Rattus norvegicus: one gene and its partners. The protein of the gene in region 4 purifies or fractionates together with the protein of the main gene of each other region. This does not show direct contact. Links are inferred from orthologs where the notes say so. Each region holds a gene or a part of one and is shown on either strand. Other genes may lie near its edges. The genes, in order: Specc1l, Dhx9, Myh9, Ddx39b, Lmna, Rbm15 and Hnrnpu.

What was found.
Region 1: the proteins of Ddx39b (region 4) and Specc1l purify together in Homo sapiens (affinity purification with mass spectrometry, with the first as the bait; 3 studies listed by BioGRID). This does not show direct contact. The link is inferred for Rattus norvegicus from reciprocal best matches to the Homo sapiens genes DDX39B and SPECC1L.
Region 2: the proteins of Ddx39b (region 4) and Dhx9 purify together in Homo sapiens (affinity purification with mass spectrometry, with the first as the bait; 3 studies listed by BioGRID). This does not show direct contact. The link is inferred for Rattus norvegicus from reciprocal best matches to the Homo sapiens genes DDX39B and DHX9.
Region 3: the proteins of Ddx39b (region 4) and Myh9 purify together in Homo sapiens (affinity purification with mass spectrometry, with the first as the bait; 4 studies listed by BioGRID). This does not show direct contact. The link is inferred for Rattus norvegicus from reciprocal best matches to the Homo sapiens genes DDX39B and MYH9.
Region 5: the proteins of Ddx39b (region 4) and Lmna purify together in Homo sapiens (affinity purification with mass spectrometry, with the first as the bait; 4 studies listed by BioGRID). This does not show direct contact. The link is inferred for Rattus norvegicus from reciprocal best matches to the Homo sapiens genes DDX39B and LMNA.
Region 6: the proteins of Ddx39b (region 4) and Rbm15 purify together in Homo sapiens (affinity purification with mass spectrometry; 3 studies listed by BioGRID and IntAct, with this or other methods). This does not show direct contact. The link is inferred for Rattus norvegicus from reciprocal best matches to the Homo sapiens genes DDX39B and RBM15.
Region 7: the proteins of Ddx39b (region 4) and Hnrnpu purify together in Homo sapiens (affinity purification with mass spectrometry, with the first as the bait; 3 studies listed by BioGRID). This does not show direct contact. The link is inferred for Rattus norvegicus from reciprocal best matches to the Homo sapiens genes DDX39B and HNRNPU.

Annotation. Positions count from the first base shown.
Region 1 is NC_086038.1:13,394,571-13,398,070, reverse strand, and holds part of Specc1l (cytospin-A), read left to right. Parts: intron 1-521; coding exon 522-595; intron 596-1,620; coding exon 1,621-1,796; intron 1,797-3,500. UniProt on the Homo sapiens protein: Involved in cytokinesis and spindle organization. May play a role in actin cytoskeleton organization and microtubule stabilization and hence required for proper cell adhesion and migration.
Region 2 is NC_086031.1:68,152,313-68,155,429, forward strand, and holds the end of Dhx9 (ATP-dependent RNA helicase A), read right to left. Parts: intron 2,988-3,117; coding exon 2,787-2,987; intron 1,508-2,786; coding exon 799-1,507; 3' UTR 501-798; downstream 1-500. UniProt on the Homo sapiens protein: Multifunctional ATP-dependent nucleic acid helicase that unwinds DNA and RNA in a 3' to 5' direction and that plays important roles in many processes, such as DNA replication, transcriptional activation, post-transcriptional RNA regulation, mRNA translation and RNA-mediated gene silencing.
Region 3 is NC_086025.1:111,238,964-111,242,463, reverse strand, and holds part of Myh9 (myosin-9), read left to right. Parts: intron 1-1,122; coding exon 1,123-1,283; intron 1,284-1,978; coding exon 1,979-2,087; intron 2,088-3,014; coding exon 3,015-3,146; intron 3,147-3,500. UniProt on the Homo sapiens protein: Cellular myosin that appears to play a role in cytokinesis, cell shape, and specialized functions such as secretion and capping. Required for cortical actin clearance prior to oocyte exocytosis. Promotes cell motility in conjunction with S100A4.
Region 4 is NC_086038.1:3,576,701-3,579,651, forward strand, and holds the end of Ddx39b (spliceosome RNA helicase Ddx39b), read right to left. Parts: intron 2,731-2,951; coding exon 2,599-2,730; intron 1,443-2,598; coding exon 1,333-1,442; intron 1,231-1,332; coding exon 1,086-1,230; intron 983-1,085; coding exon 835-982; intron 727-834; coding exon 710-726; 3' UTR 501-709; downstream 1-500. UniProt on the Homo sapiens protein: Involved in nuclear export of spliced and unspliced mRNA. Component of the TREX complex which is thought to couple mRNA transcription, processing and nuclear export, and specifically associates with spliced mRNA and not with unspliced pre-mRNA.
Region 5 is NC_086020.1:176,255,436-176,259,467, reverse strand, and holds the start of Lmna (prelamin-A/C), read left to right. Parts: upstream 1-1,232; 5' UTR 1,233-1,435; coding exon 1,436-1,791; intron 1,792-4,032.
Region 6 is NC_086020.1:197,639,898-197,644,094, reverse strand, and holds the start of Rbm15 (RNA-binding protein 15), read left to right. Parts: upstream 1-1,397; 5' UTR 1,398-2,265; coding exon 2,266-4,197. UniProt on the Homo sapiens protein: RNA-binding protein that acts as a key regulator of N6-methyladenosine (m6A) methylation of RNAs, thereby regulating different processes, such as hematopoietic cell homeostasis, alternative splicing of mRNAs and X chromosome inactivation mediated by Xist RNA.
Region 7 is NC_086031.1:92,609,291-92,612,435, reverse strand, and holds the end of Hnrnpu (heterogeneous nuclear ribonucleoprotein U), read left to right. Parts: coding exon 1-125; intron 126-392; coding exon 393-647; intron 648-881; coding exon 882-1,063; intron 1,064-1,287; coding exon 1,288-1,359; intron 1,360-1,808; coding exon 1,809-1,862; 3' UTR 1,863-2,645; downstream 2,646-3,145. UniProt on the Homo sapiens protein: DNA- and RNA-binding protein involved in several cellular processes such as nuclear chromatin organization, telomere-length regulation, transcription, mRNA alternative splicing and stability, Xist-mediated transcriptional silencing and mitotic cell progression.

The DNA of each region.
Region 1 (3,500 bases), about 9.8 Mb from region 4:
TGACACGTGGTGCACGCCCGAGGCATTTCCCTGTGTGAGCTTCCTTACAAGCAGAGAATGTGATTTCCTATTGTATTTAGTGCTACTATTCCATAAATTAATTGGCAGCTCTCTGGATACTACAATTTTAGAAATAATTCGACTGATTTCATGTTTCTGGAATTTATTCCAGTGTGACAAGGGAATATGCTTTGCATGGCTTGGAGAGATAACTTCTGTGATTAGAAGCTGACATTTTAATAGCAGTCAATGCTGTTTTGATTGGCCTTGTGCCAATAATCTGTATGTTTCTAACAATTGCTTCCAGCTTGCTTAGGAAGTGATGCAGAAACTATAGCCTTGGATTGAATATTCTTTCATGCTTTTAAGTTTTGTGATGAAAGTAAACAAGCCTTGGCACAGGAAAACTATTTAGATGATCGTATTTTTAACACCTCTTTTTATGTCATTTCTTTTGAACATTTAAGATCATAAGGACTTTAAGTTTAAGAAGCCATATTTAATCTTTGTGGTTTTTTCAGATACAGTTAAAAAACTCCAAGACCAAAAGCATGACTTGGAAAGAGAAAACAAGACCCTTCACAGGAGACTTCGGGTAGGGTAAATCTTCATGTGCTGCCTCACTAGAAAACGTGACTCTCTGACGTGCACTGTACCTTAACCTGTAGATGTGGTGGGATGTTGCCCACACTGGGATTTGGGCTGAAAGCAAGTGCCCGTACTTTAAATTGGATCTGGCACTGCATTTAAGGTAGGAGAATATACTGGTAGTTATTTATAGATAGATGTGTTTGAAAATAGTTTATTAAGGCTTGATTTTAAAATCACAGACCAGGCTGTTTGTATGTGAGTTTTCTGTGTTCTCGGGGTTGGCTTGGCTGCCAGCCCCCATGCTGCTAAGATGTGCAGGGACAGCTAATCACAGACCCTGAGTCCTGAGCCAGTTGTTGTAGCTACTTTCATGGTACCAGAAAATTGCTTGGAGGACGAGAGGATGGCTCAGGCAAGGCCCAGCTGTGGCTCTGGGGGAAGCGAAGCCCCTGGGGAGACTTCTCCGCCCAGTCACACCCGCATCCTTCTTGTCTGGGAAGCAGCGGAGCTCTGAGTTCCTTACGTCTCCGTGTGACTGTGTCTGCCTGCGCTAAGTTCAGTTTTTCTTCTGCCTTCCTCTTCCTTTTCCTTTACTTTAGATTTTTTTTTCCTGCTAGTTTTTGATGTCAGGGTATTTATAGTTTTTACTGTATGGTTCACATACCATTTATATACCTTCCAGAGGTACAGCTCTAAATTTTTGATGATATTTATTTTCGTAACACTTGCTTTGAAACTTGCATGAGGAAGAGAGGTCTAACATTGTTCTCATTAATATTTATTGAGCACTCTGAATACTTAATGCCTCGGTAGGGGATCAGATGGCAAATCTTTCCTTCATTAGGAACGAGTTTACTGATAAGAGTTGCTTTGTTTTAAAAATAGATAACAGCAATTCTTGGAATTAAAAAAAAGTCATCATTCAAGAGTATGTCTTGTTAGGCCAAACTAATCATAAACAAACTTTACTGCTTTTAAGTAAATCCTCACCGCTTTCTTTTGGAAATGAGAGTTTACTTTCTAATGCAGGAAGAGTCCGCAGAATGGCGGCAGTTTCAGGCTGATCTCCAGACTGCGGTGGTCATTGCAAATGACATCAAGTCTGAAGCCCAAGAGGAGATCGGTGATCTAAAGCGGCGGCTACATGAGGCCCAAGAGAAAAATGAGAAACTCACCAAAGAATTGGAGGAAATAAAGTCACGCAAGTAAGTTCTGAGAAGCCAGTTGTGTTTCCGTAAGGAACAGTGATGTGGCACTGGTGCTGGTCTTTGTCCTGGTGCTCACAGTGCAGCCCTCTTATTTATCTGTAGACTGCAGGTCTGGAAGCAGACTGAATCAGCTTCAGTCTGGCCCTGCCTCTTGGTGTGTGCTCTCAGTTAACAGTTTAATTTCCCTGTGCCCTGGGCCTCAGTTCTCTGAGCTGTAACAGGAAGGCCCTGTGAGCCACTGTATAGTGCTGTGCTGAGTACGTGAGCTGCTGTTTGCAGAGGGATCAGTAAACTCGAGTTACCAATTTGGGAAAAGCAGTGACTGGGACAGTGTGAGTTTATTTCCATCAGTCACTTGAGGAATTTCTATTTTTTTTTCCAAAGTCCTCCAAAGTAGTACCCTCTACATCTAACACAGAGACCATTGGAAATCCATAAAAATGGCCACAGGAGGTGACACCTGAGATATGTTTCAAGTTCCACAGTGACACTCAGAGTGGGGTAACAAGTTTATGTGTTTGATGTTATTATTAAGAATTTGATTTTTTTTCACTTTGAATAATGTTTAATTAGGCATAGAAAAAAAAAGCAGTATATCTTTGAAAGGCTTTTATTTTGTTATGACTTAGTCCTAATGTGTTGCTAAGTGTTAGTCATTGGCATCCTTAAGCTGAACTTGGAACGGGACCTAATGAAACCCCCCTGGTATAAAGCTGGAGTTACTTTTTTATCTGTATTCATAAGTAAATACCTTGTCAGAAATACCTCATTTGATAGTTGCCCTGAGTACTGAAGTTGGTTGCGTCCGTCCATCCATCCGTCCACTCATACATCCATCCACCCACCCATCCACCCACCTATCCATCCATCCATCTATCCACTCATCCATCCACCCACCTATCCATCCATCCATCCATCCACCCACCTACCCATCCACCCACCTATCCATCCATCCATCCATCCATCTACCCACCCACCCATCCATCCATCCATCCATCCACCCATCCATCCATCCATCCATCCATCCATCCATCCATCCATCCATCCATCCATCCATCCATCTATTCATCCATCCATCCATCCATCTATTCATCCATCCATCTATTCCATCCATCCATCTGTCCGTCTGTCCATCCATCCACCTATCTATCCATCCATCCGTCCGTCCATCCATCCACCTATCTATCCATCTGTCCATCCGTCCATCCATCCGTCCGTCCGTCCGTCCGTCCGTCATGCTAGGGATGAACCTAGGGCCTTACATCTGCCAAGCCAGTGCTCTGCCCTTAAGCCCTAAAATTCTGTTCTTGAAGGATCGCTGTGTGGGATCCCAAAAGTGTACTAGTGTTTATGTTTCGAGGAGATGCCTACCAAAAGACTCAGCATCCTGGGCTCGGACGGGTGGAAGTGGTTAAGAGTATTTCCTGCTCTTCCAAAAGATCTGAGTTTAGTTCTAGCACTCTTTCGTTAGGTGGCTCAGGACCACCTGTAATCCCGTTCCAGGGAACATGTTGCTCTCTCTGGCCTCTGGGCCTCTCCCCCTCCACACACACACACACACTCTATTAAAATCGACGAGAGAGCGTCGTGCGCTGTGCTGTTGTCAGAGTGATCCTCTCCATTATGAGACCCTTCCCGGCCCCTTGCTCTTAGTTGTCACAGTACTGCTAACAGGTAGCTGACTGCGTTCACTGATGTGTG
Region 2 (3,117 bases), on a different chromosome or scaffold from region 4:
AAACACCTTTGGGATACAAGTTAGTGGTAAAGAATTGGTCAAGTAGTTCTCTCCCCAAATACTGAGTCATACATTATAGAGCTCACCTACCTTTGTTCATTGCTTAAATAAAAAATATATTGCCGACCCTCTCACCCACCCAACCCACAGAAATGAATTTGTAATAGAAAATGCTTCCCTTAGTCTTTTGTTTTCAAAACAAATATTTCAGCTAAGGTCAAATGTTTCAGAGTTAGAAAAATGGTTATAACACACCTTAATCCTACCACTTGGGAGAAGGCAAGTGAGTTTCTGAGGGTGAGGCAAACCTGCTAGTTCCTTACCGAGACCCTAACATTAAAGATGGGAGGGATATGGGCTCAACTCTTTTTTTGGTTCTTTTTTTCGGAGCTGGGGACAGAACCCAGGGCCTTGCGCTTCCTAGGTAAGCGCTCTACCACTGAGCTAAATCCCCAGCCCCTGGGCTCAACTCTTATTCTGTAAAAAATACCATTACACAATCAATTTTCAGTATACTTTATTTTCTATTAAATGAAAACCAAGAAAATGTCAAGTTAAGTTAAAAGGCTTTACCCTTTCAAGAAAAAAATACAAACTGTATGGTGTGATACTTGTATAACAGGTCATATTTTACATTACACAATATAAACAAAATCACTAATCTACAATTATTTGAAACTACACATGAACTACAGATTAAGTGGGAAATGGGTTTACTTTTTTGGTGCAAATAAACATCTTGGAAAAACATACAGCATGCATTTTTTAACTGTATGCATAAGCTCTGACAGTCCATTCTTAATAGCCGCCACCACCACCACCACCACCTCCTCTTCCTTGTCCAAAATAACCACCTCCATAACCCCTTCGCTGGAATCCTCCAGATCCTCTATAGCCCCCACCAGATCCCCGGTAGTCTCCACTAGATCCTCTGTAGTCTCCACCGAAGTTGTTTCTGTAGCCTCCTTGGGAACCTCCTCTATAACCTCCCCCACCTCCACCATAATTTCCTCGGTAAGAGTTGGGGCTCATATTATAACCTTCCCCACCTCCGTAACCCCCTCCACCACCTCCATATCCTCCACTGCCTCCTCCATACCCACCACTACCGCCACCACCTCCATAGCCACCACCTCCAACACCATAGCCTCCCCCACCACTTCCAAAACCTCCACTACCCCCAAAGCCACCACCGCCGCCGCCTCCTCGGCCACCACCAAATCCACCCCCACCACCTCCCCCACTGAAGCCTCCTCCCCCACCACCAAATCCACCTCCGCCACTGCCAAAGCCACCCCCACCACTACCAAAGCCTCCTCCCCCACCACTGTTAAAGCCTCCTCCAAAGCCTCCCCCACCACCACTTCCAAAGCCGCCTCCAAAGCCTCCACTACCATATCCACCACCGTATCCACCACCACCATATCCTCCTCCTCCATATCCCCTTCTATATCCACTTCCATTATCGTATCGGGCCATCTTGGGAGGCCTCGGACCATCGCCATACCTAGGAAAAACAACAAATCACTTTAGCTATACTCTGCACACACTAAACTAAGAATCACAGTAAATAAACTTTAACCAAATAATGAGACCTGTATGGTATAAACAGCACTGTTAATATTTTTCCACAGGCCTTGAAGTTTCTCTTAATTCATAGTATTTTTAATCAAGTATTTCCCTGTACAAATTTAAAAAATGTCTTGGTGGAAACTCCTCAGAAAATATATACACTCACAACTCCCCTACCTTCATGTCTTTGATATTCATGTTAAAGAAGACAAAAATAATGTGAATCAACAGTTCAGTTATACTAAAATTAAAAGCAAAAAACATGATAAAGACTCAAAGGACTTTTTGTTTATTTGTATATTATTATAATCCTGAAGCCATAGGGCTGGAGAGATGGCTCAGTGGTTAACAGCACGAACTGATGATCTTCCAGAGGTCCTGAGTTCAATTTCCAGCAACGACATAGTAGCTCACAACCATCTGTAATGGGATCTGATGCCCTCTTCTAGTGTGTCTGGGAGCTACAATACTCATATAAATAAATCTTTAAATAAAATTACAGAAGAAAAAAATTCTGAAGCCATGCTTAGGAGAATGATTTCTTAATGAGTGTATTCATAACTTCATGAATGATTAAAAGTTAAATAACTCAAAACTGGTAAACATAAGGAAGGAACATACGCATACACCGTTAACATTCCTTTCTTATGAATGCAGATAGGTGAACACTAAAGAAAAATTTCTTATTTCTTAAAGACAGCCTAGGGGGCTACAGAGATGGCTGGGGACTGGAGAGATGGCTCAGCGGTTAAGAGCACTGACTGCTCTTCCAGAGGTCCTGAGTTCAAATCCCAGCAACCACATGGTGGCTCACAACCATCTGTAATGAGATCTGGTGCCCTCTTCTGACCTGCAAGTCACATAAGCAGGCAGAATGCTGTACATAAAATAAATAAATAAGACAGTCTAAAATAAATTGATCTTTCTATTTGAGGAAGGAATTAATACTTTATCTGAGACTGAGACTACAACAGTGTGGAGGAAAAGGTTTCATCAAGATTACATCATTTTCAACTTTTAATATGGTCTACCTGTCAGGACTTTATTTTTATATGGCAATGGGTACATCAATTAACAGGAAAAAAGGAAATCTTTTGTTCTGAGTCAAACTCCCACATTTAGTGTTAAATAATTTTAACCCGAAGGACTCTACCAACTAGCTTTAATAATTATAGGTCTGTAAAAGCTACAGACACATAAATTAGGTAACTCACCTTACACTCCCAATCATAAGGTTGATACCAGCAGCTGAGGGCCTAGAAATCTGACGGATGGTGTTTAGCATATGCTCATTGACAGGGTCCAACTGGCTGATAATGTTTGGTTGTTTGGATACTTCAACAACCAGAGCTTCCATGGCTGCCCGGAGGGCTGTGATGCATGCTGCAGCTTCATGTGATATTTGCAGTCTGATCCTAAAATGAAGGAAAAGCAAGGCATAAAACTGGAAACATACACAGAGAGGTGAGTGTAGTCAAATGTCCTCCCAGTGCCAAAAACTTAACTTTATTACAATTAGACATGCCCCAAACCCAGGTGAATGTA
Region 3 (3,500 bases), on a different chromosome or scaffold from region 4:
GGCAGGAGACAGGCCCATACCCATTCCTACTTTCCTGACTTTCTACCAGGAGTTCTTGACAGACTGGTCTGGTCTTCCAGAATGCACATAGACTACTCATTGACAGTGCCAGTGGGAGCTTATTCTAAATCCCTCCCAGACAGTCAGACAGGCTGGCTGGCTGGCACACATATCTACTTGTGTTAGTTACTTTCTCATTGTGGGACCATGTACTTGACAAAAGGCAACTTCAGGGAAGAGAGGGATTGTTTGGACTCCCATTTCGAGGGTAGAGTCTTATCATGAGGGACATGAGGGTGTGGTGGGAAGACAGGGAGGCAGCTGCTCCCGTGGCGTCTGCATGGGCAGGAGAAATGAGTGGCACTCAACTGCCTTCTCCTTTTGCCCAGTTTATCCAGTTCAGGACTCTAGTCTATAGCATGGTGACACCTATCCCTCCTTGGGGAAACTCTGGAGACTTCCCGAGGCATGTCTCCTGACTGATTTTTAAATCCAGTCAGTTGACAGCAGAGAACACCCTGCCACTCGGGCTTTCTGAGCAAGCTGCTGCCCTGGCTGGAGTTACCCAAGTTTGTCATGATGACTAAAACTTGCTTGGAGCTCACTGGTGCTTTGGCCCTGTGCTGAGTCTTCTGACATTCTCTTGGGTAGGGCTCGTGGCCCTGCTGGGAAAGACAGTGTCATTTGCTTTGTGTCTATTTTTCTTTTTAAACTGAAGCATCACCCCCATATAGTTGAGAGACATGGCCTCAAGAGAGGAGACAAGCCAGGGTCTCCAGGTGGTGCTGGGTCCTGAAGCCCTTGAAGGCCCTTGGTACCAGTGAACTTCAGGTGGAGGCTTCCAGGTTGAGCATTTGTGGAGTATGACTCCAGGTGCAGAGGCAGGAGGTAGACGAGGTCTCTGAAGAGCCCTGTGTTTCTTTGACAGTCTGGTTTGTCACCTTGCTCTGTGTTACTCCTTCTCTTAGTGCTCCTGAACCCATGCCCTCTGGTCCTGGGGCAGAAGGCTCCTGCAGGAGGTGCAGCCCCTCCTGAACCCCTGGATGACTGGGCTGAGGCAAGTCCTGGCCTTTTCTCCCGCTGTGCAGAGTGGCACAGAGTGGTCTGCTTTGCTCTCTCTAGATCAAAGCCTTGGAGCTTGACAGCAACCTGTACCGCATCGGCCAGAGCAAAGTGTTCTTCCGGGCCGGAGTCCTAGCTCACCTGGAGGAAGAGCGGGACCTGAAGATCACTGATGTCATCATTGGCTTCCAGGCCTGCTGCAGAGGCTACCTGGCCAGGAAGTAAGTGGCAGGGACCCTTAACCCACACCTCTCACATGTTCCTGCTCTGAGGACAGTATGGTCAGCTGTGGTTGAAGGCCTCTGGGAGTTGAAGGCCTGTCTAGAGGGGTGTCTGGGAGTCAGCCAAATGAGCTTTGACTGTCCCAGGTGTCTGCTTATTTAATCCAGACTTTTCACCATGTGGGGATGGCACCAGGCCTGTCTGTGCCTGTCATACTCCATGGAGGCATCCTGAGCTCACCACGCTCAGATTCCCCTGCCGCAGCAGGCAGACATGCTCCAGGACAGTCCCAGTGTGAGCTTTGAGCCTAAAAATGAGCAAGAGCTTGTGTTGGGCGCCCACGCCTTACACCCACCTTTGTAGCACACCGGCTGCCAGTGCTGTGCACCAGCAGCAGCTCAGGCGGGGAGGCAGCAGGGCTGGATAGTCAAGCCCAAGTGCCCTGGGCACAGATGGATCATGACTAAGGTCATAAGGTCATAAGGTTGTAAGGTCACAGTTGGATCTTGCACCGAGTGGGAGTCTTGTCACTGGTTCTCGTAAGTCCTTTATGCCTGAGAGCACCTCAGTGGAGGGCAGTGGCTGAATGACCTGAGCCCTTGTCGTTCATTGTGTGTTCAGTGTTTCGTGAGTCAGGGTTGTTGGTGTGTGCTTCCCTCATCCCTGAGTTGCTGACTGAGCTCTTCATCTCCAGGGCCTTTGCCAAGAGGCAGCAGCAGCTGACTGCCATGAAGGTCCTACAGAGGAACTGTGCTGCATACCTCAGACTCCGCAACTGGCAGTGGTGGAGGCTCTTCACCAAGGTGGGCTCTCCACAGGCCGCTCAGCCTCCTCTGCTCGTGGTGCTTGCTCACATCACAAGCCTTTCCTGTAGCTCCACAGTGCTCAGTGGTGTGAGCCTAACCTGGTGCTGGGAGTGCCTGCCAGCAGCTCCGCCTGTTTGCTGTGGATGGCAGTGTCCGGGCTGGGCAAAACCAGAGCAGCTCCTGTGGGCGAGGGCTTGCCTTTCCTACACATGGGCCCTGTGGCAGAGACTAGCCTCTTGTGGTACCCCATGGCAGCTAGCTGCTGAGAACTTCTCCTGTATACCTTGTGTCTTTAAAATGCCTTTTGCAAGCTGGGCATGGTGGCATATGCCTTAATTTCAGCCCTCAGGAGGCAGAGGCAGGTGGATATCTGTGTCTACGTAGTGAATTAGGCCAGCTAGGACTACCCAGAGACCCTGTTGCAAAAAAAGTTCCTTTGCAACTTGTTCTGTCAATTTTAGTTTATAATGTATAACGTATGCTAAATGCCAAAAACATAGAAAGGTCATAGAACCTCAATCATGGGCCCTTCACTCTGAGCCAACGCCATGATGTTTCTGTATTCTCATGTGCAGTAAGTCTCAGCTATGGAAACTGCATTTTTACGTAGCCAAGCGCTGACTTGTGTACATAGTCTTGTCTTTTGCACTTTGTATTTAGAATTCCCATCAGCATCAGTTTTTAGGAGCTGTTGCCTAGAGGATGGACGGGTCATTCCTAAGTCTTGGGCCTATAGACAGTGTGTCATGGACGTCTTTATGTACATGTAACATGTTGTACAGTCTGACTTCTAGGAAGGTTGCACCTACTTGTACCCTCTCCCCAGAGAGCAGGTCTGGTTGCTGCTCACCTCTGGAGCTTACATTCCAGAGGCTTCTAGGGGTGAGCAGCTGGCCTTAACTCTGCCCCTGTCTTCTCTCCCAGGTCAAGCCCCTGCTGAACTCAATAAGGCATGAGGATGAGCTTTTAGCCAAGGAGGCGGAACTGACAAAAGTTCGAGAGAAGCATCTGGCTGCAGAGAACAGGCTGACAGAGATGGAGACTATGCAGTCTCAGGTAGGTGTCAGTCTTACCCGTCAATCCCAGCTGCTCTCAGTGCTGCCCCTATTGGACACTAGCAGGCTGGCTGGTTTTGCAGCTTAGAAAACACTTGCAGTCCAGTGGGAGAGCAGTAGTCAGCGGGGAGACTGAGCCATAATCCCACCCTGGGGCCCTGTTGCTGTGACAGTGGACCTAGGATAAGTAACTTAAGGGGGATGAAGAGATTGGGCCTGCGGTCACTGGCCCCTGTTGAGGCGGAATGCCACCACTGAGTGTGGTAGAGCAGAGCTACTCACTTCTTTGTGCCAAGGAAGCAGAGGGAAAGAAGGGTCTCTATTCCCTGCGCCATGGCCCCGCTTCTAAAGTTCT
Region 4 (2,951 bases):
GTCTGAGTAAGACCTGGGCTACCTGGGCTTCACCTATGACCTTCTGAACTTCAGAGCAAGTGAGAAAGGGGAGATAAGCCAGACCTCTACCAGGGCTTCCCAAGCTTCCCAAGGACCCCGGGCCTGCCCTGGCTGACACTCTCTGATCCCACCAAGGGACTGCAGACTCTTTACACAGCCTTGCTGGTGTGTGCGTGTGTGCCTGTGTTCACACACACCATTGTTCAGGTCCTCATACTAGGAACCCGGTGGGGGGAGATGAGGCCTGAGGATGTGGGGCTTGCTCTTTACCTCCCGATCCCCAGCAGTCCCCCAACTTCACCACCCACAGCCACTTTAGAAAGTGAGTGAAAACAGAAGAGAAGGCAGCTGGGGAGCCACAGCCTCTCACGTTTGGGCCTTACCTTGCTATGACCCTGCCCCACAACAGGGCTCTCAGAGTCAGAGTGACCCTGGCTCAAGTTCCACCCAAACAGAGCACTTACAGACACCACAGACAGTTGTTTCATTCTTAGTTTTGTTAAAAAACAAAAACAAACAAACAAACAAACAACTCTGATAAATCAGGACTAGGTTTAGGAGTGGTGGTGACGCAGAGAGGCATGGAGAGGGTGGGCTGAGGTGTCAGGGGTGGGGCAGTAGTGTTTCCTCCCTGACCCCTTCGTCCTCTTCTACAACAGACTGCCACGGTCCAGAATAGGTGATTCCTCTACCGTGTCTGTTCAACTGAAGAAAGAAAGTCAGTTACAACAAGGCACACAATGGGAACACACACACACACACACACACACACACACACACACACACACACCCACCCACCAAGCCGGCACTCACTGTAGGAGGAAATGTCGATCTCATCGGGCAGCTCACTGATGTTGACCTCGAAACGGTCCTGCACGTCATTCAGGATCTTGGCATCGTTCTCGTCTGACACAAATGTGATGGCCAAGCCCTTGGTGCCAAACCGGCCCGCTCTGGCCACCTGGAAGGAGAGGTGGAAAACTGCAAGCCTCATAGGGGAGACAGAGGGGAGAGGAAGGGGCACAGCGTGCGCACACAGGAAGTGGGGTAGGGTGGGCACTCACCCTGTGCAGGTAGGTGTCGGAGTCCTCTGGCATGTCATAGTTGAAAGCGATGTTCACGCGCTCAATGTCCATGCCACGGCCAAACAGGTTGGTAGCCACAAGTATCCTCCGCTGAAAATCCTTGAACTGCTGATACCGAGAGAGCCTTTGTGAGAGTAAATGAGAGGTTTGAGACGTCGCTTCCACACCGCTTCCTCCCCACACCAGTATACAGATGGAGGTGCCCGCCTGCCCGCCTCCAACCCACCTCTCCTCCTGGGGCATCCCGCGGTGGATAGCAATGGCTGGGAAGTTCTGCTCCACTAGAAGCTGGGCCAAGGCGATGCAGCGCTGCACGGACTTCACAAAGATCACAACCTAAGGAGCACAGGGGTGACGTATGTGCCAGCTTCCCACAATCCCCATGTGGTTTTGTAAGTTCAGGTGTGTGGGGTTTGCCTGCACACATGCTTGTGCTGTGTGCCCGGTGCCTGTGGAGACGGCAGAGGACACCTGACCCTCTCCCGCCAACTGTAATTACATGACTGGGAGCTGACGTGGGTATTGAGAATTGAACTTGGGAATCCCTGGAAGAACAAAAGTGTTCGTAACTTCTGAGCCACTTCCTCAGCCCAGAAACCTCACTTTTGAAGTTTTTTAAATGTATGCATGTGTGGTTTTGTGCATGTGTGTCAGGTGTATGCAGTGCACTCTCAAGACAGTGTGTTGAATTACCTGGGCCCAGTTACATGGATAGGTGCTGTGAACTCAATGTGCATCCTCTGGAACAGCAGAAAGTTTGAGACAGGGTTTCTCTATTAGCCCTAATTGTCCTGAAACACATTATGTAGACCAGGCTGGCCCCAAACCTGCACTTACCTATCTCTGTCTAATTCTTAGGATTAAAGATGTATGCTAACACATTGGCAGAATTTTGATTTGTTTTTCAAGGCAGCACTTGTAGTCTGTGTAGTCCTGGCTGTCCTCCAACTCGCTCCGTAGACTTAAAGAGCTGCCTGCCTCTGCCCCCTGAATGCCGGGTTTAAAGGAAGGCATGTGTTTCTAGAAGAGTTCCCCAAATCCCTCACTCCAACTCAAATCTCTCTACACAAATGGTTTTCTCTGCTCCTCAACCTGACTACATGTACATGTAGGCCTTAATTTCTAACATCCTGGCCTCTGAGCTGCACAGACATGAAACCTCAAAACACACATGGGTGAGTCCACCTCTAGAACATTCTAAGAACTAGTCTAACAAACCAAATGATTCTCTTCACACACACGGCCAGCCCAGCACAGGGCTGCCCTGCCAGGCTCTTAGGTGAGTGCCAGGTACCTGGGAATCTCTTGTACACTTTCTGAAGCCATCAGTACTCTACCTCAGCTCTCACCCAACTTCATCTTCCCATTCGGACTTGCTCCACCGCTCCACCTCTTCACCTCCACGGCCTGTCAATCACAGGCTACTTCTACACAGGCTTCTGCCACAGCTGGAGACGGGCAGTGCTCATGTCCACAGACCCTCGATACTGACCTGGTTGAACTCGAGGACATCGAGAAGGTCAAAGAGCTTCCGGTTCTTCTCGTTGTCCTTCAGTTTCACGTAGTATTGCTGCAACCCGTGCAGCGTCAACTTGGTCTCGTCATCCACGAAGATCTCCATAGGCTGAGGGGGAGGAGGGGTGGGGGCAGGAGGAGGGCAGAGTGGGGGGGTTAAACCTGGGGGGGTGGAGGACGCTGATCTCCAATACACCCCATAGAAAGATGGGGAGGAGAGAGAAGACTGAAAACCCCTCCCCACCACAAAGAACACTCTGTGCTGAGGTCTCTTTCCAGCTAGATCTGGTAGCATCCACATCAGCTGAATTTTAAGCCCAATCAACTTAA
Region 5 (4,032 bases), on a different chromosome or scaffold from region 4:
CTCCATGGAATGAGCAGGGAAGGCTCCATTGCAGGAGGGGATGATGGGGCCAGTGCAGCTTAGGCTAGGGTTACAGGAGAGGACTAGACAGCTGACCAAGAGTCTTTGATGGAGGCTGAAGAACCTGGGACCAGGGTTACTGTATTGGGAGATAGTCTAGTCAGGGCCCACTCATAACTGGCTAGAAAGGCATGCAGTGGCTGAGGAGGGGTGGCTTTGCTCTTCGTGCTCCCACTGTTAGGAATGGAACCCAGATGGAGACCCTGCATTAATAACCCTCCGACCCCATTCCTCTTTTCAGGCCCTTCTTGCAGTCACAAAAATCTGGAACCTGGTGTCCTAGCCATGTGTTGAATGCACGCACAGCTCTGGTATCTGTTTTAAATTATCCATTAAAATAAGTACAGTCCTGGAAAAAAATAAGTACAGTCTTGGACTTGGCTGGGTGGAGTAAACTGAAGAAAGGGGCTGAAAGGGAGGGATTATAACAGCCATTTCCAACTGTCTGGGTCCAAATGAAAGGGGAGGGGGGATTGGGAGGGGCCAGCTTCTGGCTTCTATTCTTGGCTTTCTCTTGGGGACTGAGGCTTATTCCTTAGATCTAAAACCCAATGTTTGGTTTTAAAGCCAGAAATATAAGGGAAGTGCATAGGTTTAAAAAAAAAAAAAAAAAGGCCCTTGATCTTTGCCCCAAACTTGAGGGCATAAAGTAATATGTTAGTTACCTAAAAACCCAGACGTTCCTTTGCCATCCCACTCCTGGCATACTGAAATGCAGCCCTGGATAGGCCGCTCCTGTGCGTGGGGGAGAGGTGACTCACTGTTACTACTGAGGAAAGGGGAGCCAGTGGTGGAAGTGGGTGAGTCACTGATGGGCAGCAGCCTCAGCCCTCCCCCAGCTTCCTTGGCTCCCTGGGGATGCCTAGCTCTCTCCCTCACTTTGCACCTACTTCCCCTGGTCCCTCGCCACTACCCTTCGCCCACCCACTCTCATTCCTTTACTCTGCCCTTTACCCCAGAAGGCCAAAGCTTGGAGTTGAGTAGGCAGGAACCAACATTGTGAAGCCCCAGGCCAGAAAGGGGTGTTCTGCAGACTGAGGGTTAGCATGCTGGCTCCTCCTCACCATACCTGCCTCCGCCCCTTTGGGTCTAGGATGGCTCCTTTAAGAGCAGTGGATCCACCCCCTGTGGAGGAGGGCCTATTAGAGTCTCTGCCCGGCTGTCAGTGACTCAGTGTTCGCGGGAACGCTGCCTCAGCCTCAACACCAGCCAACCCAGATCCCGAGGTGCGCCAGCGCCCAGCCCAGATCTCCACGCCTGCCAGGAGCGAGCTTCGCCGGCTCGCTGTCCCCCGAGCAGCCTCTGTCCTTCTGTCCGAGTCCCGCGCCCTTCTCGGGACCCCTGCCCAGCGGGCAGCACTGCCACCCTGCCGGCCATGGAGACCCCGTCTCAGCGGCGCGCCACCCGCAGTGGGGCGCAGGCCAGCTCTACCCCGCTGTCGCCCACTCGGATCACACGGCTGCAGGAGAAGGAGGACCTGCAGGAGCTCAATGACCGTCTGGCCGTGTACATCGATCGCGTGCGCTCCCTGGAGACGGAGAACGCGGGGCTGCGCCTTCGCATCACTGAGTCTGAAGAGGTGGTCAGCCGAGAGGTGTCCGGCATCAAGGCGGCCTACGAGGCCGAGCTGGGGGATGCCCGCAAGACCCTCGACTCTGTGGCCAAGGAGCGCGCCCGCCTCCAGTTGGAGCTGAGCAAAGTGCGTGAGGAGTTCAAGGAGCTGAAGGCGCGGTGAGTGAGGCCTGGCCGGCCAGCACCAGGGAAGCAGCAGTCTTCCATAACTGGCCATCTAGTCCCCTCCCTCCCCGGAACTGCCTCCCGCGGGTGACTGGCAGTGCCAAGGGTAATAGTCATGACAGGACACAGCAGGGAGAGGGTCTCTGTGAGAGGGTGGGGGGATATAAAGAATGGTGGGGCATGGAGACCAAGTAGCCTTGGTTACAGGGCCTCACTCTGTCAAGGTGGGATCTTATAGCCATTTGGAGCCTGGGGGATGGGCTGGAGGAAGGCAGAACAGGCTTTACCAGGTCTTGGAACTCCCGAATGAGGCCCGGAACACAGCAGAATGGGTGAAAGGGTTTTATTAGAACTTTCTTGGTGGATTTGGCACTCTGCCAATTTTGCCCAACGTGACTCTGAACACATGATGTCCACTAAAACATATCTCTCACACAGACATTTGTCCGGTGGTATTGTAGAGGGGTCACCAAGGCTGCGTAGCCCCTTTCTCCCATGGCTGTGTACGCAAGGCCTTCTCCTGGTTCTAGGAGCTGGGAATGTCTGGGACCTTTCCTAGACTCTGCCCTCCAGAAGCACAGGAGGAAGCTCCCCCGCAGATCCCACAGCCCTTGGCCTGCCTCGACTAGGAATGCAAGAGAGTGTGGGGAGGGAAACTGGGCACAGAAGCTAATGGCCCTGGAAAATCTGTTATGCCTGGGTCTGGGGCTCCCCAACCCTGGCCCTCTCTGTTTGGTGACTTAAAGGTTTGGAAGCTCTGTCCTTTCCTCCCTCAGCCAATAAGCCACTTCCGGTTTCCTAGCCAAGCCAGACTTTACTCTGGCCCATCCTCCAAGCTGTTGATGTCTTGATCTTATTAAACTGCTGGAATACAATGACATTTTTGAAATCCAGCCGTTAGAGAGCTTCAGGCCACTCCCACCTCACCCATCCCTGCCCCACCCTGCCCCACCCTACTCGACTCCACCTTCTTTCTAAAAGGACTTTCCAAAGCCTGGGAGTGTGGGCCCTGGCTCCCGGGACTCCCACAGGCTCTGTGTCTGGGATCTTTTCTTCTATGCTGTAGACCAAGCCAAAGAGCGTTGGCCATGCGTGCAGATACCTAAGGCTCTGGTAGCTTAGACTTCTCTTCCTCTTTTTCCTTTTGCATTATCTTCTGACAGAGCCCACTGACTATCAGTGGTTGGTCATTCTGTTCCTTACCAGATCCCAGCCATAGGTGGTGGCAAGCTCATTTTCTCAAGTATGAGCGGAGGTCATGTGCACAGATGGGTCCAGCCTTTCTCTCAGCTAATAGGAATTACCTGTCTTTTCTCTATTAGGGATATGAATACCTTATCAAGAAATACATGAGGCAAGTTAGAGGAGTCCCAGTGAGTTAACTAGTTAGTTAAGCTATAGTTAAACTAGTTTAAGTCAACCACCAAAGCTCTTGCAGATCCTGGTGCAGAACTTGTCTAGTAGATCTGGGGACAGGGGGAGTGGAAGATAGAGCTTTTGTTCATCTAGCTGAGCCACTCTGTGTCTTCTGCCCCCAGTGCAGCTGTCCAGGCCTGGGACACCAGGTGGTGTGTACACACATGGGGTAGGGGCCGGGCGATGTGTGGACTTTTTATATTTAGCCACCTGCCTCTATTCTCAACTGAGCCTACCCGAGGAGGCTGGGCTTCCAGGAAGGGGGTTGGGGTGAGTATACACACCTAGGTCCTTGCTGGTGGGGTGAAGTGGAGGCGAAGTGAGCTTAGATGGATGTCTGTCCTTCTATGTCCATTGCAGAAGACTCATGGCTCTGCCCTTTGTATGGCTGGTGAGCTCAGACTGAGGTGGAGAAATGGCCTGAGTGAAGTTTGGGGAGGATGAAAGGCATTGTCCGGGCCCTCCCACCAGGGCTGGGGGTGGGGAAAAGTGACCAATTTAATGTTTAATTCCAGCTCAGAGTTCAGGGTCAGGCTTGGAGTTAGGCATAACTATGAGACCGGTGACAATCTTTAGCACAGTTCAACTTGGATCTCTCAACTGCACCCACAAGGCTCTTCAAACTGGGTTGTAAGTTCCAAGGAGGAGGCAGGGGAGAGGGGGAACAAAACAACTCTCTCCTTCCCTCTTCCTCCCTCTCCTCCAGAGGTTTAGATATCTAAGCTGGGAGAAGGGGACAGTTGGAAGTGAGGGAAGGCTCACCCCAGGCTTATGGGTAAGCTCAAGTCCAAGCTAGACAGCTGCATGGATGACTCAGAC
Region 6 (4,197 bases), on a different chromosome or scaffold from region 4:
AAGAATATTTTTCCACTAAGAATTGAACCTAGAGCTTCACTTAGGTGCCCAAGGTTCCTGAACTGTGTCTCCAGACTTCTTTTGTGTGGGGTTGGTTTTAAGACAGAATCTCACCAACTTATCAAGTTACTCAGGCTAATGAAGAATTTATGATCCTTACCCTCAAGAGTAGCTGGGATATAGGTGCTCCAAAAGCCACACAACAGCAACTTTTAATACAAGTATGTCTATGCTTTATAGTATTTTGGGGTTTATAATTTACCTATCAGGCTTCTTTCAAATCTTTTTGATGTAATCAAGAGATTTTGGACCAAGTATTCACCAATTTCAAGATTATATACTAACAAAACAAATCGGCTGAAATAGGGCTAATCAGGTTGCTGTATCTAGTCTTCAAATAGCTTTTAAATTTAGAATTAAGGGTTTTTTTTGGGGGGGGCATTCTTATCACCTTGTAAAATGTCCTGTTTTAAAACACATTCTCAACTCAGTCTTAAAAGATGGGAATACCAGAATCTTTCTAATGTCTTCAAGGTACATATTTGGGGAGACTGCAAAAAAGCCTATTTCGCGGTTGGGGATTTAGCTCAGTGGTAGAGCGCTTGCCTAGCATGCGCCAGGCCCTGGGTTCGGTCCCCAGCTCCGAAAAAAGAAAAAAAAAAAAAAAAAAAAGCCTATTTCCCCTCACCAGGAGGTAAGCACCAGTGGTATAGACTATCCATCTTTTTTTTTTTTTTTTCTTTTTTTCGGAGCTGGGGACCGAACTCAGGGCCTGGCGCTTGCTAGGCAAGCGCTCTACCACTGAGCTAAATCCCCAACCCCTACCCATCTAATCTTATGATCACCAGTATTACACAAGCTTACGAGACTCCTTACAGATGCATGGGGTCACCGAAGTTGGTGGCGGGGAGACGTTTAGATTTGAATCAGGGTTAAAGGAGTCAAAGGAGGGGGATCTAGGAGGGGACAAGGTGGCCATGTTACTGGATCCTAATATGGATTAATCGGAGTGCTGAGGTCCAAGAAACGAGATAAATGTAGTACCCGCACAGTGAGAAGCGTTACATATTAAAGCTAAGCACAGCTACCTTTCACAAATCTTTTATGAATGCAAATCCTACACATTTTCACAACATAAATCAGGAAGCAAAAAAGGCCTGCAAGTGGTCCTGCAGGTCAGACCAGTCGGTAGGCCCGGAAGCCCGGAGTGTAGGTCACTGCCGGGCCCAAGGCGGCCAGGGCTGCGCTCTGTTTCCTATGTCCGCGGGCGGGCTGTGACTCGGTACCGCCCAGGGCGTCAGCGTGACCCGAGGCTCAGTGAACCCTGAACTCACCGCCCCAGCCAGCCGCACAGACCGGGGCAGGCGCTTTCTCGCGCACGGGGGTGGGGCTTTTTCAGGCTGCTAACTAAGATGGTGTCGGCTGGACTTCCCGGGACAGCTGCCTAAGCGGATCGAGGGCCAGCAGCCGGAAGGACCACCGAGCCCATTGTCCCGCCCAGACAGGACAGTGCGGAGCCCGCAAGTTCCAGACTCGAAGGACCGAAGCACAGGCAAGTACGCCGTAGGACCTAACAAATGTTTAAGAGAACGCCGAAAGCGCGGGGAGGCGGGCCTGACTCACTGTCACCGTCTCGCGACAGCTAAGTGACGTCGCACAGCAAGCGCGTGGTAGAGTCTTTCACCTTCAGACTCCTCAGTTTATGGGCCTACTCCTTTAAGTGAGTGATGGACAGCGCTTTTATCCAATCATTTTCCTCGTCAACATCCAATCAGATTTAAACTTTATTCAGCCGCCGGAGAAGTTGGAAGACTGGGGTTGAAAGAGAGCGAGCGAGTGAGCGAGCGAGCTCTTTGTCTCTCGCGAGATCCGAGAGAGCCAAGTTCTCAGGGAAAAACGCCTGAACTGATGTCCAGACTTCCCAAGTAGTGATTTAAAGGACGTGGCCATAAACCAATGAAAGGGAAGAGAAGGTGGGATCGCTGCTTTCGCCGTGCTAGAAGTACCGTTACAGGGCAGACTTTTTGTCCAATCAACGCTTCTAGGCTTTGGGTCAGGTGACCATGAAGTGCGAGGGGCGGAGCTACAGCCTGGCGCGAGGAACCGTTAAGATAGACAACGAATATAACCAATGAGGTACTGCGATTAGGGCGTTGGGAACCCAATAACAGCGTCGGGGCGGGCGCCTTCCCGGAGCGCGGGGAGATGTAAAGACGGACAAATAGTTTTTCCAATGAGAAAGCTGAAGAGTGAATTAATTGACCAATGAGGTCTGCGGGGCGGGAGCCTTTGCCGCGGCGGAGTCCAAGATGGCGGCGTGCGAGTCCGCTGTGTGAAACGAGCGCGGGGTGGCGGGTTAGTCAGCTCCGCAGAGACGACCTCCGGCGACCCTCAACAATGAAAGGAAAGGAGCGCTCGCCAGTCAAGCCCAAACGCTCCCGTGGCGGTGAGGACTCCAGTTCTCGTGGGGAACGGAGCAAGAAGTTAGGGGGCTCTGGCGGCAGCAATGGGAGCAGCAGCGGGAAGACGGACAGCGGCGGGTCGCGGCGGAGCCTTCATCTGGACAAGTCCAGCAGCCGAGGCGGCAGCCGCGAGTATGATACCGGTGGGGGCAGCTCCAGTAGCCGCTTGCATAGTTACAGCTCCCCAAGCACCAAAAATTCCTCAGGCGGGGGCGAGTCGCGCAGCAGCTCCCGGGGTGGAGGCGGGGAGTCACGTTCCTCTGGGGCCGCCTCCTCAGCGCCTGGCGGCGGGGACGGCGTGGAGTACAAGACCCTGAAGATAAGCGAATTGGGGTCCCAGCTGAGTGACGAAGCGGTGGAGGACGGACTGTTTCACGAGTTCAAACGCTTCGGTGATGTAAGTGTCAAAATCAGTCATCTCTCAGGTTCTGGCAGCGGGGATGAGCGGGTAGCCTTTGTGAACTTCCGGAGGCCAGAGGACGCGAGGGCGGCCAAGCATGCCAGAGGCCGCCTGGTGCTCTATGACCGGCCTCTGAAGATAGAAGCCGTGTATGTGAGCCGGCGCCGCAGCCGCTCCCCGTTAGACAAAGATACTTACGCCCCGTCGTCCAGCGTGGTCGGAAGCTCTGTAGGTAGCCACAGGCACGCCCCTGGAGGAGGTGGAGGTCAGAGATCGCTTTCTCCTGGCGGTGCTGCTTTGGGATACAGAGACTACCGGTTGCAGCAGTTGGCTCTTGGCCGCCTGCCTCCTCCACCCCCGCCACCATTGCCCCGAGAGCTGGAAAGAGAACGAGACTATCCGTTCTATGACAGAGTGCGGCCAGCATATAGTCTTGAGCCGAGGGTGGGAGCTGGAGCAGGTGCTGCTCCATTCCGAGAAGTGGATGAGATATCACCTGAGGATGATCAGCGTGCCAACCGGACACTTTTCTTGGGCAACTTAGATATCACTGTGACAGAAAATGATCTGAGAAGGGCTTTTGATCGTTTTGGAGTCATCACAGAAGTGGACATTAAGAGGCCTTCTCGTGGCCAGACCAGTACTTACGGCTTTCTCAAATTTGAGAACCTAGACATGTCTCACAGGGCCAAAATAGCAATGTCTGGCAAAATTATAATTCGGAATCCAATCAAGATTGGTTATGGGAAAGCCACACCCACTACCCGACTTTGGGTGGGTGGTCTGGGACCTTGGGTGCCTCTTGCTGCCCTGGCACGAGAATTTGATCGATTTGGCACCATTCGAACCATAGACTACCGAAAAGGTGACAGTTGGGCATATATACAGTATGAAAGCTTGGATGCAGCTCATGCTGCCTGGACCCATATGCGTGGATTCCCACTTGGTGGCCCAGATCGTCGCCTTAGGGTAGACTTTGCAGACACAGAACATCGTTACCAGCAGCAGTATCTTCAGCCTCTGCCCTTAACCCATTATGAACTAGTGACAGATACTTTTGGACATCGAGCACCTGACCCTTTGAGGAGTGCTCGGGACCGGACACCACCCTTACTATACAGAGATCGTGATAGGGACCTTTATCCCGATTCTGATTGGGTGCCACCCCCGCCACCGGTTCGGGAACGCAGTGCTCGGGCTGCAACTAGTGCCGTCACTGCTTATGAGCCACTGGATAGCTTGGATCGAAGGAGGGATGGCTGGTCACTGGACAGGGACAGAGGTGACCGGGATTTGCCTAGCAGCAGGGACCAGCCAAGGAAGCGAAGGCTGCCT
Region 7 (3,145 bases), on a different chromosome or scaffold from region 4:
TGCAGGCTTCCAACGAAAAGCCGTGGTCGTTTGCCCAAAAGACGAAGACTATAAGCAGAGGACACAGAAGAAAGCGGAAGTAGAGGGGAAAGACCTACCAGAGCATGCTGTCCTCAAGATGAAAGGCACGAGATTCATTTCATTTTTACTGTCTTTTAAGTCTGGTTTGGTGATTTATACCTAGAAAATGACTTAGCCACTTTAGGGATTATACTATACTAATCTGGTAAATTAAGCTCTGTGTATGGTTTTTTTATTCTGCAAAGAATGTGACAAAGCCATGACCAGATACTGTGATAGTGAAAAAATTCAACATATTCAGAGATAATTAAAGATTGTAAAATTTACATGTTTATAAATTTACATGTTTAATTTGACTTTATTCACTGTAGGAAACTTCACCCTTCCAGAGGTTGCAGAGTGTTTTGATGAAATAACCTATGTTGAACTTCAGAAGGAGGAAGCCCAGAAGCTTTTGGAGCAATATAAAGAAGAAAGCAAAAAGGCACTGCCACCAGAAAAAAAGCAAAACACTGGCTCAAAGAAAAGCAATAAAAATAAGAGTGGCAAGAACCAGTTCAACAGAGGTGGTGGCCATAGAGGACGTGGAGGATTCAATATGCGTGGTGGCAATTTCAGAGGGGGAGGCAAGTTTGTTTATTTTGCCTGTTGTATTTGAAATGTGAAAATGAGCTGAGTTTTTTTTTTTAAGTTAAATAGGCATAGGTGTCTTAGATAATGATGCTGCTATGTTTAATACACAGTGAAGAAGTATATTAGGTATACTTAAAACTGGGCATTGCTTTTTTTTTATTAATGGTAAGATATGACTTATGACATTAGTATGTGACAGGACTAAACTGAACCCTTCTTGCATTTAGCTCCTGGGAATCGTGGTGGATATAATAGGAGAGGCAACATGCCCCAGAGAGGTGGTGGCGGCGGAAGTGGTGGAATTGGCTATCCATACCCGCGTGGCCCTGTCTTTCCTGGCCGAGGTGGTTACTCAAACAGAGGAAATTACAACAGAGGTGGAATGCCCAACAGAGGGAACTATAACCAGGTATTGACTATAGTTTGCCCTGAAATGTAGATGAATGGATATTGGGAGTCTTAACTGGAGGTGTTGACATAGCTATGAAGCAGTTTATTGGACTTTGCTTTTCAGGTCACTAATTAGTAACATCAGTGAGCTTGGGGTAAAAGGGTTTTTCTACATGCCTTCTCTAACACAGCCAACCATTTCTTCAGAGTTCTTACAGATGCTTTGTTTTTAATTTTCCATAGAACTTCAGAGGACGAGGAAATAATCGTGGCTACAAAAATCAATCTCAGGGCTACAACCAGTGGCAGCAGGGTGTAAGTAGTTTCTTAAATGATTATACACATTATATATAGTGTTATGTTTACAAACTCAGTTGGAAGTTCTTAACCTAGGGATTGAAGATACATATTAATAGGACAAGGTTTCTATAAATTGTTACTGTGTTACTATAACCATGAATAGGCTGGATTTTAACAGTTTTTAGATAAAGTAATTTAATACATATGGTCGTTTACTACTACATGGTCATTTTTAATAGTTTTAATTACATAAACTAACCCCAAGTCTTGTGTTTCCTTTTGTAATGTGTATTGGTAAATAGTATGGGTAATTGGTAAATTAAAATTAAGTCTCTGATGTAGAAATTAAGTGTCATAAATTTGTTTCCAGCAATTACTCTGAATTAGATCATTGTCATTTCCTAAAAACAATTTGAGTGGCTTATTGATGTTTTTTTCTTTAAAAACAACATTTTCTCTTACAGCAATTCTGGGGTCAGAAGCCATGGAGTCAGCATTATCACCAAGGATATTATTGAATACCCAAATAAAACGAACTGATACATATTTCTCCAAAACCTTCACAAGAAGTCGACTGTTTTCTTTAGTAGGCTAACTTTTTAAACATTCCACAAGAGGAAGTGCCTGCGGGTTCCTTTTTTAGAAGCTTTGTGGGTTGATTTTTTTTTCTTTTCTTTTTTGTACATTTTTAATTGCAGTTTTAAAGTGAATCGTAAGAGAACCTCAGCATTGTGCACGATAAGAGAATGTGTCAGTATTTCAGGGTTCTACATTTTATCTGTAAAATGTGACTTTTTTTTTTTATCACAACAAAAGTAAAATGTTGCTTTGTACCTGGTGTCTTTTATTAAGCATTTACTCCCCCATTTCTCACAGAGAATAACAGTCGGGAGTCATTGTCACAATGAAATAGCAATGTCAGCAACCAGATTCATGGAAGGACTGAGGGTCCTCATGAATGGCATTAAGATTCTGTACTGCTCATAATACACTCCATCCTCTCTAGATGGCCGGGCAATAGTGGAGGGGTAATCTCTGACAAAAAAAAAAGGGAAGGCTATTTTTTTTCTGCTTAACAATGGAATTGGCATAATTGGGATTGAAGATAAAATTTGGAACCAAGACTGAGAAGATGGAGTGTATGTAGAAGGGCTGTTTAAAAATGTAAACTTGGTTGCATTATATGTGGAGGCTCAAACTTGTGAAGGTTAAATACCACAAAATTTTCCATTTGTTCTGCATTTTGATTCTGAAAAGAAAGCTGGCTTTGCCCATTTTCTTATTAAAAAACTTGTTGTAAATCCAGTTGTCTAATGGGATCTATATGAAGTTAGCTATGTCTGTATGCCCTTCTCCCACAAAATACTGTATTACTAGTGTGCTTGTAGTAGTTAACTCCACCATCTTTGTAAGCTAATGAAATTGTGAGTCACCCATTTATATCTTAATTTTTAATCATGTCAGTTCTTGAATGGGTATCTCCTTAGCCTGCTGATTTCTTTTTCTTTCTAAAGAAAGTGGGTGGAGAAATTAATTTAGACGTTTGTTTGCAATAAAAAGAATTCATTTTACTCTCGTTTGGGATTCTCGCCATCAAGGTCTAAATCCCTTTATACTACAACTCCCAAGAGGAGAAATTTTAAGTGTGTGCTTTCTGGACAGCTTATTCTTTACTCTGTACTTTTCGAACATTTAGGTTTTAAAAACTTAAATGTATACTGATGATTTTATAATATAAAGTTGAATTCTTCCCCTCCCCTCCCCTCCCCAGACTGCTTTTAACATTTATGAGGGGCAAAGG